Linked DNA regions of Sus scrofa. The protein of the gene in region 3 interacts with the protein of the main gene of each other region in a pairwise test. Links are inferred from orthologs where the notes say so. Each region holds a gene or a part of one and is shown on either strand. Other genes may lie near its edges.

Evidence for each region.
Region 1: the proteins of PRMT1 (region 3) and HNRNPR interact in binary tests that used the Homo sapiens proteins (3 or more experiments, as listed by UniProt). The link is inferred for Sus scrofa from reciprocal best matches to the Homo sapiens genes PRMT1 and HNRNPR.
Region 2: the proteins of PRMT1 (region 3) and BTG1 interact in a two-hybrid assay, tested with the Homo sapiens proteins (2 studies listed by BioGRID). The link is inferred for Sus scrofa from reciprocal best matches to the Homo sapiens genes PRMT1 and BTG1.
Region 4: the proteins of PRMT1 (region 3) and CDC37 interact in binary tests that used the Homo sapiens proteins (3 or more experiments, as listed by UniProt). The link is inferred for Sus scrofa from reciprocal best matches to the Homo sapiens genes PRMT1 and CDC37.

Annotation. Positions count from the first base shown.
Region 1 is NC_010448.4:81,236,617-81,240,650, forward strand, and holds the start of HNRNPR (heterogeneous nuclear ribonucleoprotein R), read right to left. Parts: upstream 2,801-4,034; 5' UTR 2,647-2,800; intron 2,531-2,646; exon of another isoform or gene 2,106-2,530; intron 1-2,105. UniProt on the Homo sapiens protein: Component of ribonucleosomes, which are complexes of at least 20 other different heterogeneous nuclear ribonucleoproteins (hnRNP). hnRNP play an important role in processing of precursor mRNA in the nucleus.
Region 2 is NC_010447.5:90,814,035-90,817,993, reverse strand, and holds BTG1 (protein BTG1), read right to left. Parts: upstream 2,801-3,959; 5' UTR 2,483-2,800; coding exon 2,335-2,482; intron 1,372-2,334; coding exon 1,004-1,371; 3' UTR 58-1,003; downstream 1-57. UniProt on the Homo sapiens protein: Anti-proliferative protein.
Region 3 is NC_010448.4:54,717,410-54,721,699, reverse strand, and holds the start of PRMT1 (protein arginine N-methyltransferase 1), read right to left. Parts: upstream 2,801-4,290; 5' UTR 2,744-2,800; coding exon 2,708-2,743; intron 1,802-2,707; exon of another isoform or gene 1,446-1,801; intron 537-1,445; coding exon 483-536; exon of another isoform or gene 180-482; coding exon of another isoform or gene 177-179; intron 1-176. UniProt on the Homo sapiens protein: Arginine methyltransferase that methylates (mono and asymmetric dimethylation) the guanidino nitrogens of arginyl residues present in proteins such as ESR1, histone H2, H3 and H4, FMR1, ILF3, HNRNPA1, HNRNPD, NFATC2IP, SUPT5H, TAF15, EWS, HABP4, SERBP1, RBM15, FOXO1, CHTOP, MAP3K5/ASK1, MICU1 and NPRL2.
Region 4 is NC_010444.4:69,210,110-69,214,388, forward strand, and holds the start of CDC37 (hsp90 co-chaperone Cdc37), read right to left. Parts: upstream 2,801-4,279; 5' UTR 2,707-2,800; coding exon 2,605-2,706; intron 1-2,604. UniProt on the Homo sapiens protein: Co-chaperone that binds to numerous kinases and promotes their interaction with the Hsp90 complex, resulting in stabilization and promotion of their activity. Inhibits HSP90AA1 ATPase activity.

The DNA of each region.
Region 1 (4,034 bases), about 27 Mb from region 3:
AAAACAAAAAACACAACTTGACATTAATTTTTGTTCTAAAATTAGTTTGCTACTCCCATTCACAGATTTAAAAGAAAAAATGACCAGGTTTAAAAGCTAAATGATTGTTTTAAGTCCACATAAAATAAAAAGTGAGCTAGAGTTAAGGCTGCTTCTTTAAAAAAAAAAAGTCATGAGTATATACTGAATTTTTTGTATCAGTAAAATAAAACTGAAAAACGTATTTGAGAACAGACAACTAATGTCTTCCACATAGTTTCAACAAACATTACCTAATGAGAATAAACTTAGGTCAGATGTCTCAGATTAACCTACCCAAATCATTCTGGGTGTTCAACCTGTATGTAATGCTGAAATGGACCAACACCCTGACAGAGAGATTAAATAATAAAACCAAAACAAGGCCAGTCTCTATACTGCCTCCTCAAAAGGGAATTAAAGTGCATTTGTCCGTGGTGAAATTATAATGTGATGAATAAGCAGAATAAAGACACTGCAACAAATACTGAAATTAAGGACATGAAGGTGGATCTCAAAGGAAAAGCCTACTTGATGAAACTCAAAATACCAGCTATAAAGAAAATACAAGTTTCCTGAAAAGCAGTAAAACTCATACATAAGGTAACCACACTTCCAGACTGCTTATCAAAACACTATGCAAATGCACACCAAGTGCATTCTTCTTAATTAAAACAACTTCATTTCAAAGTCCACTGATATTTAGTTGAAGTTAATGAAAAAGGGAAGAAGAGACTGAGTAGGAAGAGAGGAAAATGCAGAAAGGGTCCCTCTGAAAATGAGATAAATATCATGACTTATTATGATTACAAAACATCATTAAGACTTAGTAACCCAATAATGTCTATACAGATGCAGACTCCACGGTTAAATTCTGGGTAGATAAATGTCTCTCAAGACAAGCCCCAAATTCTGATGGACTGGCAAAAACATTCAAAACTGGCACACTTTTGATCAAGAAGCTACTTACAGTGTAAGATAAATCGTTTACTGATTAATACAACCTACTTCTACAAAGATGCATCCTAAAGTCCAAAATCTCTTTATGAACATACAGTTGTTCCCCCCCCATACGAGCATAAGATCATCAGAACTCAAAAGTTCTCGGTAACACAAACCCTTGCAGTATTGCATCTGAGAATTCTATTAGTCACGGAAAGAAAGCAAATTTTTAACAGAAAAGTTCAATAAACATCTGTTAAGGTGGTATTTTTTCTTTTAAGTATGTGTAAAGCAAAAAGACAAGTTGTGTATTAATCGCAAGACAAATATTTATGTCTACCATTCACTGCAAAGGCTCTCTACAAGGTGATTCTGAAACTGGTTGAAAATTTCAAAAAGTCTGTAACCTTAAAAAAAAAAAAAAAAAAAAAAAAAAAAAGTACAGCTATTAGAGTCCAGAAAATAAAACCTTTCATGTCAAGGAAAACCTCTCTCCAAGCCAAATACAATGTGCTCATTTTTAAAAAGATTTTTATGTCATTATGAGACCATTTAAAACTCTTGTTTTGTGTCAATACAATGCCACACAGCCAAACCATATTTCTGGATGCAGCAAATATACTAATGTGACTAAAGTCATTTGATCTACACTGTTTTGCAAAAAGTAGAAATTTAAATAAGGGCTGCTGGGACATTGGGGAAGTCTGACACTAGCCTCTCCCTGACTTTTTCTGAACATCTCGTGAAAACTCTTCACATTTAAGAGACTGGCTTTTAAAGAACCAACGAAATGAAAACTAACGGTTAACTCGGCTTAGGAGTGTCAAGCCCTTATCCTACGACTGACTCATGAGACATAAATTCAGCCTCCAGAGGACAGCAAAAATCTCAAACAGGTAGCGTAAAAGGACTGAACCCTTCAAGAACCCCAGGGCTTCAAGTTTTAAATTCTGGCAATACGGCTTCTACCATAGAAAAAAAAGAATCGCCTTTCCAATTTAGTGCGCCTGTGACATTCCTGGAATTATGTATCTCAGACGCCGCTCGAAGCCTAAGTTTCATGGCCTCTAATAGTCATTTTTTCCTTCAAATCTCGACTCGCAGCATGCAGAATGGGGGAGGGGAAGGAGGCTTTCTACACATACCCGCCTTTCGGCCTCTGCTTCGCACAAAAGTTTTCTCCCGGCTCAGGTCACTCGGGGTTTGCATCCCGCCCTCTGCCCACCCACCCCCACTCATGCCTGTCCCAAGCATCAACACATCCCACTCATAGCTAGGCCGACTGAGACAGGAGCTTGGAGGCTCCGACGGGGAAAGGCGATGGTGCCGTGGACGCCTCAGGCCGCTGGTCCGGCCCGGCCCAACCCGGCCGCGAGGAGCGACAGGCGGAGGCGGGAAAAGCGCGACCGACCCGGCAGGCCGCGCGAAGGGCGCCCGGTGGGCCGGACCGAGGGCTAGGGGTTGGAGGGGCGGGGGGAGGATGAGCGAGGGTGAGGAGGCGCCTCAGCGGGGCTAGGCCCTCAGCGGTGCGGCGGGAGAGGCCAAAGCCGCCCCCAGCCCATCCCCACCCCCACCCCGGGGCCTCGGAGAAAACCAAACGGGACGCGGTGCGGAGCCCCGGCCAGGCCCACTAGGGTCGGATCGGGGCTCCCGGCCCCTCCCCCCGCGGGCCGGCGCGAGACTCACCAGGACAGATCTGGGGCCGGCGGCCGGGCCCGTGAGAATCAGCGCGAGGCGCTTTGAAAACGACTAGAAATGGCGCGCGCGCCACCCCCTCCCCCCCTCATGGACCGAGACGCGATCCCGGCAGCACGCGGGGTTTCCCGGAACTGCTTCCAGGGACTCGGAGCGGCCGGGCAATCACCTCGCGCGGCAGCCTAAGGGACAGCTCAGAGGACCAATAGTAGTGAGAAGAGGCTCACTACTCCGGACGCTCGGGAGCCAATCGATGAAGCCGTAGGCTGAGCCAATGAGGGAACTCAGCGCCGCCGGCTGGGGCGCCTCCGGGGCGGGGGTAGGAACACAAAGGGGTCTATCGTGAAGCCCCGGGTGGAGGCGAGGCTGCGGGGCACCGGGCCCAGGGTGGCCGAGGCCCCGCCCTCCTCGTCTGCTGCAGACGCGAAGCCGAAAAAGTAGGCCTCGCGCCGCGTGGCCGCCTCCGGAATCCCGCCCCCTGCCGTCCGCGCCGGCCCTGGCGGGCCGCGGCCTTCCCGCCGCTTCGCCGCTGCCGCAGCGCTGGTGATTCCCCCGCGTGCCGCCGCCGCGGCCGCCGCGGGCGTTCGCCCCAGACACGCCCACCGCCACGCGGTCCGGCCTTCCTCTAGGTCGTCTTTGGGACTTTAATTAGAGCACGATCTAAGGATTTGGCTCGCCCGTTTTTTTCCGAGAATCTTTTCGTGTAGAAAATCATCCCTTGGAACGCTCAGAAAACGGCTTCCTCGGCTGCCTTCCACACATCCTTGGGAGCAGATCAGAATGTGGGAGAAATCGCTAAAGTGGGCATTACTCAGAAGCAGTTAAGTACAAATGACAGAGCAGGGACCTTTCTTCGCGGGGTTTGACGCTAATTAATATTCAGAAAGCAGGACAGACGTATACATCACGAACCCCAAAGAGCCGTGCCAGGAAAAGAGCTAATTCCCAAAGGAGACTAATTTCCGTTATTCTGAAACATTTCTCACCCTCCACACCTACTGGTTTGTTCCTCGTCCTCGCCTTAATCCAAACCTCTAATCCCACATCCCTTCCTTCCCTACCTCAACTTCCAACACCCCACCCTTCCCCTCCGCGCCGGAGTGGAGGAAGTCAAGCAGTGTTCCGCAAGACTTCCATATACACTTCGAGGACCATTAGATTTTCCAGAAGCTATCAACCAAAAATTATTTACTCAAAACCTATGTGCCCAGTACTGAGCTAAACATCACGGTGGATCCAACTTTTGTGTTGAGGGGTGTGAGACTTATACAAATGATGGGATCCTTAAAAATATCTTAAATGATGAGTACAAATTTAGAAGTGTCTTGGAAGAGCATGGTAAAGGGACTTTGAAGCTTAAACTTTATTAGCTTCAGATA
Region 2 (3,959 bases), on a different chromosome or scaffold from region 3:
TCTTCTGAGAAATAGATTTCTTTTAGCTGAACCTCTATAATCATGACAAGAGATTGATTAAAATGCCAAGATAAGAAACAATTTATTATAGAGAGAAGAAAAATTTCTCATCCAAAATATAGAAATCTGTACAACTTTGCCACAATCAATATACATGAACTGTACAAATTTACACCAGTTCATAATTTACCAAATAAAAGATGACTAACAAAGTTCACAAAATAGATGGTGGTTTGTGGAAAAGACTTTTACCCAATTAAGTACAAGGAAAGTTACAAACCAGACCTCCACTTTCTAAAAATAAGAAGTTTACTCAGTCTTAGAAAACTACAAGCTAGCAAATGTACAGAGAGCTGGCTGGTGCTAACACCACAGTTGAGACAGTGTCTTTTTAAGGTCTTTTTTTAAAGCCTGTTGCCATGGCAGATTCTGGTCACTTGCTACTTTCAAGGCCAAAAACACAATACAAGGTCTGACCATTTCCCCAGGTCATGCTTACTAGTTTTGTCTTATGTACATTTATACATATTTAAGTGCTAGGTAAAAGTCTTGTTATAAAATTTCCAGTACTACCGCGTTTAAAATGTTGAGCTTTCCTATCGAGCTGCCAAAAAGGATAACAATTTAAGTGTAATAGTGCAAATTTCCTCTGCCAAGTTCTACCGCAGAGAAAGGTTCTTTGAAATATGGATTTGTGTTAAAGGGACTGATGTAAAAATTTAGGTATCATGTCCGGGAGAAAATGAAACCACCCCAGGACTTCACTCCCTAGCAAATAAGGTGATCAATTTACTTGGACTCACAGGCTATTAAGTCATTGAAAGGTACTGTCCAAACTATGGCACTGTCACTTAAAAAAATTTTTTTACCACTCTATCTTGTGCCAGATCTTCACAGCTGTGACATGGTTTAAATTCCATAATCCATCCCCAAGAGGAGCCCACCCAAAGCAAAAATCAAATTTATCCATCCATTATAAGAGGATCCATCCATAGACTATATCTTAACCTGATACAGTCATCATATTGTAGCTTTTGGAAGGGCTTGTTCTGCCCAAGAGAAGTTCCTCCTTACAGCTGATTCTGCTGTCTACCATTTGCACGTTGGTGCTGTTTTGGGTGCTACCTCCTGCTGGTGAGGCTTCGTACAGCACACAGATGGAACCATCCTCTCCAATTCTGTAGGACACTTCGTAAGGGTCAACCCAGAGAGTGAGTTCACTTGGGAGAAGCCTGAACAGCTCCTGACTGCTCAGTCCAATCCGCTGTGCTGCCTGTCCAATCAGAGGATCCATTTTATGGTTGATGCGAATACAACGGTAACCTGATCCTTTGCACGGCTTTTCTGGGAACCAGTGGTGTTTATAATGTTCTATAGAAGAAAAAAAACAGAAACAGCGCTTAGATATCGTTACTGCTGGCTCCCGCTGTAGTTTCTTTCTTCGGCTGGCTTCGTTGAGGGAAAATGCAAACTAGCAACTTTCTTTAAAAAAAAAAACAAAAAAAAAAACCCAGCATTGAATCCGCGGCTGTCCATGTAAGGCGATGGGGAATGAGCGGGCAGGGTTTGAGAAATAACAGTAGTACACCGTACAGAACAATCTCCGGGAACCAACCGGTTGAGTTGCCAAAACGGCAATCCGGCGGGCAGCCTCCGCCAGCCGGGCAGCGGGGTGGCACCGGTGGCCAGGCGGGAACCTGTTTACTTTCTCCACCCCACCCCAGCCGCACACACAATGGGGTTTATGGCTTCGAAGAGGAGCGCCACTGGACTGTTCGCCCCGAAGGGAATGGAACAAGCCATCCTAAACCACGCTCTGGGCAGGGCAGTAATTGTACCGGTGACAAATCCGATGATTAATGGACAGGGGTAGGAGGCGCGGAGAGACTGCACGTCCGGCCCGGGCTGGCTCCCTGGCAGCGGCGCGCCTTCCCATCCCGTGGCCCGGCCGTCGGGCCCGCAACGGTTAGACGGGATGGGGGGGAGGGGGCGTCGAATCCACCCTAGCCCGGCGGCTCCTTTGTCCCCCAAATGCGCGGACCGTCCGAGGACGGCGGCTCCCGCCTCGGTCGGCTTCAGTTTCTTTGTTGTGCGTCTGTTTTCCTGTCCCCTTGGTCTGCCAGCCGTGGGGGGAGGGGGCGCCCTTGGCCCACCCCCAAACCCTGTCCCGGACCCGCCGTTAGCGGCAGCCGGGCGCGCCAGTCACGGTCCCGCTGCCGGAACCGAGCGCGACCTGCCCACAGTGCCGCCAAGACTCCCGCGTCCCCGACGGCCCGGCCCAGAGATGTGCCACCGCGTCCCTCGGCGCCCCCCGCCCTGCCGCCGCCCGCTCACCTGCCAGCAGCTCCTGCAGGCTCTGGCTGAAGGTCTGCAGCTGTCGCTCGCTCGTGAGCCCCTTGGTGCGGAGAAACTTGGAGATGAAGGACACGGCGGCGGCGATCTCGCCTATCATGGTGGCGGCCCGGGTGTAGAAGGGATGCATGGGGGCGGCAGGCGGGGGCGGCCCGGGGCGGCCGGGGCTCGGCGGTGCGGCCCCGACGGCGGAGCGGCCACCCCGGGCTCCCTCACAGGTCAGTGGGCTGAGAGGGGGAGAGAGCGTGAGCGGTGGACGGCTACTTTTTTCTCCTCCCTTCTTTATAGTAAAAAGTTATTTTCGAGACAGGAGGCGGCAGGAGAAAGGAAGAGACGAGCGACGGCGGCCTGGTCACATCGCTCGGACCGCCCCGGCCGCCTCCGCCTCCAGCTCCGCAGCCTCCGAAGCTCCAAACACTTGCATTTCCAGCTCAGACGGGCAAAGAGATGCAGCGGCCGTGCGGCACTTTTTATAGCGCAGAGAAAAGGAAGTGGCGTAGCTGGAGCGTGACGGACGACTCCAGCCAATCCGGAGATCGCACCATTGTGATGCAAGCAGATTCTGAGCCGAAGGGGGCGGGAAAAGGGGCCAGGGGGCGTGCCCAGAGACCGGGAGGAGAGGGAGGAGCTGACGTAATCCGCTTGTAAACAAATAAACCCCCGAGTGGCGGCCCAGCGGGGGGGAAAACGGGATGGAGGAAACAGAGGGTGCGCGTGTGAAAGCCCCGCCCCTAGCCCTAACTCCTCCTTCCTGCTCCAACAACTCCTGGAGCTGCGCCAGCGCATCCTCTGCAAGCGTTCGCTGCCTGGGCTCGCCTCGAGGAGACAGAGCTGTGCAGATAAAAGCAGCCCCGCTCAGGCTGTCTACACGCGCGCCTGCGGCACGGATCTGGCCTCAAGGCACCTGCCGGCTCGCGTACTCGGTGTTTACAACCCGTCACCACGCTGAGTCTACGTGCCTGGCTCCACAGGAAGGAAGAGCATACAGAGCAGCGGGATGCGGGTACCCGTGCTGAGGAAGCTGGGAGTGCGGGGAAAAGTGGAGGGAACCGGCTCTCGCGGGGCATCCTGCAGCTTTCGGAACCCAGTTCTCACAAACATGCAGCCAACGCCTCGGAGCCGTTTCCCTTCCACCCTTGCGGAGGGTTGGGGCATGTCTTTGTCAAAGTTTAATTGCAAAATAAATAAAGGTTAGTAAGCCTTTTGTGGTTGCTGTTTCAGTAACTTGAGGAGTCAGAGAAAAGTGGAGACCTTACTGACCAGCTTAAAACTGATAAGAAAGGCTGCTATTGAATATAAATGTAATTATAACAAGTTTAGTAAAAGAAAAGAAACCTATATAATGCATTTTACATCTTTTTTGCACAAAACAGAAGGTTGTTTCCTTTTTTTCCTAATCCACTGAACTGTTTGAGCCTTAGAGTTCTGTTGCTCTTTATAAAAACAAGAAAATAAAGATAAAATTTGCTCAGATATTTGTTTAGTTAAGCCCTACTTGCTGAACTAGGAAAAAATAGGAAGGCGTGAACTTGCTAAAACGATTAGGCCTAAGAGAGGGTTAACCAGAACTCCATTAAGGAGGAGAAAAAAAAGATGGTGAGCCGGCC
Region 3 (4,290 bases):
CCCTACTTCTCCCTGGAGGAGAGAACCACCCCCAGACGGTCCCACGGCAAGCCTACAGACCCCGCTCGCCACCGTGCCTCTCCCAGGAACCCCCAAACCGAACAAGCCCTTTTGCCTTTCCAGGACCCCCCAGAGCACCATCCAGTAGAGTCCCCCAATACCTCAGCCAGGCCTACCATCTCTCCAGTCTCTCTGCCCCCGTCTCTAGCTCAGCCCACAGCAGGGGAGGGGAGGGAAGGCAGAACCCGGGCAGACACCGGTAAGGACAGAGGAGGGCTGGAAATGGAGTTAAGGAAGTAGCCGCAGTGTTCGGGGGAGGCCAGATGGGGGCCACAAACCTGGAGGGAGTTTGGGCTAAGTGTTTCGGGGGCACAGGGTAAACTGGTTTGAAGCAAGAGGGCTCAGAGTTGGGCCAGTAGGAAGGGCCTGATGTGTGATGAGGTATGTTTATGTGGGGAAGGGGCTCACGAAAGGATATTTACTTCTTCAAGAGGCGGCTGGAGGCTCATCCCATTAGCCAAGGTGGCTACAAAATTCTAGGAGAGAGTAACAGGGAGAAAGGATTAGCTACTGGGAGAGACTAGGGGAGGGCCAGGCCAGGGGACCCGGGCTCTTGGAGAAGGGGGTGTTTCCTACAATTTGGCTTTGCTTTGTGGGGAGTGTGGGAGAGGGAGTGAGCAAAGAGGGAACACTGTTCTTGAAAGGGGTGGGAGAGACAGAGGAAGAGAGGAGGGGGTTCTGTCCCTGCTGAGGCTGGAGAGATGGTGGCCTGCCCCCACGCAGCCCCTCTCGGTCGGGCAAGGCACCTGACCGTGCGCACCTCCCCCATCCAGGCCAGAGGAACTGGCACCCACTGGGCACACAGGCACTGCCAGCTGTCACTCCCCCTCATCATCTAATCCCCCCAGATTAGGTGACACTTCCTGACACACACCCGCATCCTGGGTGCCCTAAGTAGCTGGGGGAGGGGGGCTGGCAGGGTGTACCCACTGGGCATCTGCCACCACTGCAAACCAGTCTCTTGTCTGAGAGGATTCCAGAAAGGAGGTGTGGCACAAGGCACCCCCTCGAGAGCTGGCAGCCCGGCCCCTGGCTGCTGCCTTGGACTCAGCCAAGTCCCAAACAAAGCCAGTTAGAGCCAGTCGCCCTGATTATTACCCTCTGCCGGGGGAGGCCAGACCCAGGACCCTCAGCCCATCTGCCCACATTCAAACAACCGCCGCGGCAGGCCCTGAAACTCCCCAGGTGCGGGGCCAAGTCCTGGGGCAACCTCTGGGGAAGCGCTTTCCTCCACCCACACGGGCCCTGGCCCAGGAGAGAGCCGAGGGGGGCAGGAGTCATTGGAGTGACCCCTGGGAGCTCCCCTCCATTCCAGAGAGGGCTACAAGGTACCGGGCCAGAGTACAGAGGCCCCGCCGGATCGCATCTCTTCCAGATGTACCCACCCGTCAGGCTCCGAGAAGCGTGAAACCACAGACAGAAGCCCCCTGGGCTCCAAGCCCCACCTCCATTCTCCCAAACCCGTGAACACGCGGAAAAAGGAGGGCGGCCTGTGCGGGGATTTCCCGCTGGGTCCTACTTCTCAGCACCGACACCTCCGCCAGGCAGGCCCCCGGAGGGCCTGAAACTCAGCACCGGAACCAGCCTCACACGCCTGCACGAGAACCAAACCTCACGGAACACCGTTTAAGGCATCCACGCTCCGGACCCTCACACAGGGCTTCAGGAAGGGGGAGGTTTCACTCCCACCCTCACAAATGCCCTGGGGAGAGAAACGGAGCAACGTTCGCGGCCTCTAGTCCCTCAGATCCCCTTCCCAAGACAGACTCTCTCTCCCCTCGCCTGGAAGGCTCCAGCGGGGAGGTGGGCTTTGGGACACGCCCCATGAAAAAGAGGTCCCTCCCACACAGCAGAAATGGCCACAAGGGGGTGCACGACGCCTTTTCGGGAAGGACCTCCTTCTGCTAGATGCCCCCCCCCAACCAGAGGGAGGTCACAGGGGCATGCTCCACCCCCCCCCGCCAGCTCCCCAAGCCCCGGGCGGGGGAGAATCCATCGACAGGAAACTGGGGTGGGAGGGGGGCCCAGAGGGAACCAATTCGTCTTCCTCCAATCCCAATTCAAGAATGCACGAAACCTGGACCGATGCCTAAGCAGATGCCCCGCTCCCACAAAGGGTTTGTTCAGGGTCAAGATACATCGGCCCTCCCAAGAGACTCTTTACTTGGCGGAGCCCCTAAGTCAGTCCCACCCCGAGATGCTTGTCACGATCCCCGGGGAGGAGGGCAGGGGGCCTCAGAGGGAGGGTCGGAGCCTCCTCCCCGCCCCCCCTCAGGGCGCCCCTCCCCCGACCGGGGGCGGGGCCTTTGTCCCGCACGTGGAGGCCGCCCGGCCGGCGGGCACGGCACACCCCCTCCCCACCCACCGCGCTGCGGCCACGTGGGGACCAGGCCGGAAGCGCCCCCAGCCCTTCTCATCGTGGGAGGGGGCACGAGACCCTCGATTCTAGGGGGTGCCACAGGCGCTCGAAAGCTAGGGAACCCGCACCTCAAACGGCATCCCGGATCCGGAGCATGCGGCGCCCCCTCCGTACGACTAAAGGATTTCAACCCCAATCCGGCGACTCAGAGCCCCTTCCCCACGACGGAGGCATAAAACGCTGACCCTCAAACTGCCCCCCGCCCCCGACGGCGCTCCAGGCGCTCACCTCCATGATGCAGTTCGCGGCCTCGGCTGCCGCCATCTTCACCCGCACCTACTCCTCCTCCGGCCGCCGAGACCCCCCCCTTCTCCGCACTCCCCCGGGACCGCCTTATACCGGAGGGTCCACGGCCCGCCCACCGCGACCCCGCCAGGAGATCTCATTGGTAACGGAGGTGACCCGTCTGGGAATACCGCTTTGCAATTGGGCTAAAAAGACGCCCATCAAAATTGAGGAGACCGCCCAGTCTGGCGTCCAGAACCCCGCCCCTTTAGGTCGACCGGGATGGGAGGGACTGCCTGTCTATCGCAAGAAGTGCGACAGGTGATTGGGCAAAGTCAACAGGGAGTTCCCGCCCCTTTCCCCTCAGCACCGCCTTCAAGCTTCCCGGCGGACCCCGCGCCAAGCGGACATCTTGAAACAGAGCAGTCTATCACAAAAATGACCCGCCTCTTGATGGCTGCTATTGGTTTATCAGCTGTTGTGACGTCACGAAGCTTTTGGCCGGCCTCAAGGAGAACGTGACGATTGGCCCACGAAAAAGGAAGGCAGGGCTTTAGGCTCCAGCGATTGGCTCAATAGAACTGTCAGTCATCGCCCTTTTGATGGCTTCTCCCAGCCGGAGGGGCGGGCACTCAGGAGGAACGAAGGAGCTTGTGCCCATTTTCCTGAAGGAAAACTGACCCAACGAGAGGCCCAAAGAGAGGGAGTTCATGTCTGGGGTCCCGAAACAAATCAGGAATGGGGCTCGGGCGTCAAGGTATTTAACCCCTGGCCCGCTACTTAATTGTTCCATGTTTTTTAAACCCAGTGACCCCACTCAAGCCACTTTGCTTTTTGCCAAGTCCACCCCTGCAGGTAACACACGCCCCCTTTTTCTGTCCAACTCCTTTGTCAGTCAGGGCGCCCTTTAGCTGCCACCTCCTCCAGGGAGCCTTCCTAAACCTGCAGGAAAATTACGTACTGAATGAAGATGAGTGCCACTGGCAGAATATATGCATCACCCCAGAAAGTTCTTTCATGACCTTTTCTATTCAACATCTCCCCACCCAACCCCAGAAACCATCACTTTCTGTGTTGTCACCGTCACGCATCTTTTCCATGTCTAAAATTTCGTAAAAATGATAAAAACATTTTTGTAAAAATGTAATTACAGTATGTACACAAGTGTTTGTCTTCTTTTACTGAGCATAATGCTGTTGAGAATCATTCATGTCACACCTAGCAGTTGTCCAGTCCTTTTCATGGCTGAGGAGTAGTCCATTGAATCCATGGGTTACATTTTCCTCTTGATGGGTATGTGGGTATGTGGGTGGTTTCCAGGATAGGGCTGTTAGGAATAGAGTGGCTGTGAACCATCATGACCAAGGCTTTCTCTGGATCTATGTTTTCCCTTTTCCTGGGTAAACTGAGAACACAGCTGGGTCATATGCTAGGTGTATCTTTCTAAGAAACTGCCAAAGTTCCCCTCTGTATTGTAGCATGTTGCATTCCCATCCGTGACCCATGAACGTTCTGTGGGCTCCACATCCCCTCCAGCACTTCAAAAAATCAACCTGTAATTTTAAGAGTCTTGTAGGTATAAACCG
Region 4 (4,279 bases), on a different chromosome or scaffold from region 3:
CAGCAGTGAGAAGGGGCCACAGGTGTCACTGACACCTTGCCTTATACATAAGGGAACCGAGGCTCCCAGAACCTTGATGCCACATAAGCTCACTGGAAGGGGCCACAAGAAACCAGTACTTATTTGTCTCTGGGCAAGGGAGCCAGGGAGGCAGGGAGCTGGAGCTGGGAGGACTCACCTGTCCCCTCTGGAATCTTGAGGTTCTTTTTTTTTTTACCATGAGTGTGAATGACCTAAACGATGACAAAAACTAAAGTCTCCACAGAACTTATTCCATCCGTGTGCTGTCCTGAGAGTGTTAACACACATTAAATACAAAAGGTGATCCTCACAACAACCCTATGGGGTAGATACTGTGAAGATTCCCTGCTGGGGAAATGAAGGCACAGAGCAATCCAAACTCACTGGGAGGGCTCCCACTGTGGCACGAGACAGGTGGCATCTTGGGAGCACTGTGACTCTGGTTCAATCCCCGACCTGGCACAGTGGGTCAAGGATCTGCCAGTGCCACAGCTGCAGCTTTGGTCACGACTGCGACTCAAATCTGATCTCTGGCCTGGGAACGTCACATGCCATGGGGTGGCCAAAAATGAAAAAAAAAAAAGAAAAGAAAAAGAAAAAACAACTTGCCAGGCAGTAAGTCTGTGATTCTGAAGGAGCCAGGATCTGAACCCAGGTGGGCAGGCCTGCGCTCAGAAGCACTCCAGGCTATTTGTTCTAGAATCCCCTCTTTCCCTCTGGAATGCTTACTCACTTCCTATGATTGACTCGTGGAGGTGGGGGTCTTGCTCCCCCTAGAGTAAAGCACCAGTGTCCTGTGGCAGGGCTGGGATAAGAACCTAGGCTTGCCTGCCACTGAACTTGGTGCTGCTGGAGACACCAGGCTCTCTACCTCCGACCCTCTCCACCGCTGCCCAGGAACTCTCAGTAGCAGGCCAGGAAAGAGTTTTGGCCAGGAGGGAGAAGGGCGTGGTGAGAGGAAGACGAGGTAGGAGAGGGGGCACTAGCCTGCCGCCCAGCAGGACCAGAACATCCACCACACAGTGGCATAGATTGACTATGTGACAGTAATCCATGTTCCTGAGGATAGTCTTCAGAGCTTTGCAGAGATCTTAAATATTTCATGATAAAATGTTACACATGGCAAGAAAGAGAGAAGTGCTAGAACTTTCTTCTTACACTCCAGCGGCTTGCCCAGCAGGGACACTACCCAGGAGACTGCTGCTTTAAGGAATGGGTTGGAACTAGCACTGGGTAGCAGATGTAGGGACTCATGCTGTGTCTTGGCAGGAAGGGGAAGAGCCCTTCTAGGAGTTTCTAGAAAAAGGACTGGGAGCTGATACACGGAAAAATGGGGTGAGGAATTCCTAACTGGAAGGTTCTGAGAGGTATATGCCCTGAGTTTCAAAGTCTCATAGGCACAGGAATGTGGGTGCCGGAGCTCTGATTTTGGGGAGCAGGAGGCTAGAACATTACATCTTAGGAGGGCTATTTTGCTGGCCTGTGAACACTGCTGGGTGGGAGAAGGGCAAGAGAACAGACTTTGGGATCCTGGAGTCTGGATTTGGGGAATAAGTAAAAGTAGGGCAATGAATCTGGAATCAGACTGGGAGGGTTTCTGGTAAAAGCAGGGTCACTCTGGGTGTCTGAGATCAGCAGTCCATGCTAGGGTCAGAAGGAAGAAGGGGTGGGTTTGGGTCCTGGACTTGCATTTGAATGAGGCTTTCCAAAGCTGACTCCTACAGGAAGCCTGTCTTGGGTGGGGGGGAGAGTTTGGTGACTGGGTCTGCAGTACCAAGCAGGGGCAGGGGCTCTAGCTGGGGGGAAGCCACGTGGGTAGGATTTCCTGACATAATGGGAAACTGGGTCTACAGTATGTGAGGCTGAAGGAGAGTGGCCGGAATTGGAAGCTCCATCAAGGGTAGAGCTGGTGGTTCAATCTGAAAGGGAACTAGGTTTCAAAATGCCAGTCCTAGATGGGACTAAGGATACTGATGGGCACTGGTTTAAGTTCCAGGAAAGGGGTCCTGGGTGTGGGCTGGAGTCCCACGCCAGGAACAGAAATCTCAAGGAAGGACAGAATTCCTTGTTGTATTTAGAGGATTTCTGGATCTAAACGGGAATCACCACTGGGACCCAGAAAGGCCGATCGAAGAACAGACTTACAACTTAAAGTACTGGGAACTCTAGGGATTGGGAGGGGCCCATGGGATGTCCAAGATCACAAGGGGGTACTTGAATAGGATCAGGGTCAAGATTCTGAGGTAAGATTCGGAGCGTAAATGGAAGGTCCCAAACGGAACTGGGGGGGAAGCCCAAAGCTTGTCTTGGTAGTTAAACTCTGAAGAAGGTGCCCTAGGGGTGAACTGGGAGTTCCAAGAAGAAATCGGCAGGGGGAGGCTCGGATAGCAGGCAAGGGACTCAAGGGTCCCGGAAGTTCTGGGATCCCGGAGTTGAATCGAAGAACCCTGGGCGCTACTGAAAGTCCAGACTGTAGGGTGGGAATCTCAGGTGTCCATGGCCGGGTTCCTAGCAGTATCTGAAGTCAGAACTCTGAAGCAGAGACCCGGGAGTGGGGGAAGGGGCTGGCCGCGCGCGCTCTACCTGGTGCCTCCAGCGGAAGAGGCTGGCAGTGTCGATATTGGGGTGCGTCTCGTCTTCATCGTCAGACACCTCGATGTGATCCCACACGCTGTAGTCCACCATCTTGCCTTGGCGGCCCAGCCAGCTCCGACTCTGGCGGCGGTAGCGGCAGCACGGAGACTCGGACCGCCGAGCCCCGCCCCTTCCGCTTCCGTCTGGGCGCGCACGCCCCCGCCCGCACGTGACGTCACATCCTTAGTAACCCTGGCAGCGGCCCTGGCGACCGAGTTCTTAAAGAGCCCTGCGCACGTGTCCCAACTCCTGGGATTCTCCCTCAAACCTCATCCCATCCTGCTTCGGGCACTTCCTGGGGGGTATATGAGTGGGTTCTCCAACCTCGAGCCCCGCTAATCTCCTGCCGCCGCATAGTGGGCCTTTACGGCGGCCGTAAGTGAGCAGTTGGCGAGCCTGAGGGAGAGGATTGTCCTCTTAGCCACGCTGCAGTGACGTCAGCCCTAGCCCACTGCTGGGTTCCTTGTGAAGGGGGATTTAGCTGTGTTGGGGAGGTTGTCTGATATGGAAGGACCTTCCCAGTCCGAGGGGTACAGGACCCTGTCCTGGGAGGGTCTAAGTGAAGGAAGGATATGGCCCTGCCCTTGAGGGGTTGGAGGTGATGGGAGTGCTGTGGCTCTGCCTTGGGGCCTGGTGTTTCCCCGGCTCGAACCACAGCCTCCTCCTCGCTTCTGCCACTCCTGAACGGGGATTCGCGCGCCCCCCTTCGGAATCACCCAGACTTCATTTAACTAGTCTCGGGAGCCGATCCACAGCGTCTCCCCGTGCGGCCGCTGGGTGGCACCAATGTCTAACTAGCGGCCAGTGCTTCTGGCCTCACACCAAGTGGGGAATCTTTCCCGGTGGTAGTGCTCTAGGACCGCTAGCAGGCCTTCCCCTTTCGTCTGGGGCCCCTTTTCTGGTCCTGGGCTCTAAGGACTCTTACATTGAGCTTGAGCGACCCCAGCCACACACTTTCATATATCCCTACCCACGCTTTGATACCAGGATAAAAGGCCGCGTTGCAGCCTAGGGCCGGGATTATCTCAGATTAAAGGATGCTCCGATGGCGTGGGGGATGGGAGAAGCTTCAACCACTTGCGTGAAGGGCGCCTCTTCCAGACTCCCCCAGAGTGGGCGTTTGGAGGGAAAAGGCTGGAGAGAAAGGAGTAAAGGTCTCTAAATGGGGGCGCAGGGGGGATGGGAGGGGATTCCCCAGTCGGGGGAAGGGGAGGGGACACGTCCTGACAAAGCTCCTGCCCGCTGCCTCCCCTCCCCCTCACGCTTCATTCAAACCGGCAAGGAGGCGGGCGGGGGCGGGGGAGTCCCCCTCTCCTCCTCCTCCCTCTCCAGCCCCGGCAGTCCAGCATCTCAGCAGCCGTCACGGCCTGGGCTCGCGCGCGCACGGACCCACACCTCAGGTCTGACAATCGCGCGTGCGCGCGCGCGCACACACACACACACACACACACACACACACACACCAGCAAACAACAAAGGGTCTGGACACCCCTGTCCCCTCCCGCCCCCCAGGCCGGAGAGGGCGGGGCATCCCCTCCCCAGTCCCCCTGCAAGGTAAGATTTGGGCTAAAAGCTGCGGTGGGGAGGGGAACCTGGCGCCCAAGAGGGAGGGGGCTAAGACGGA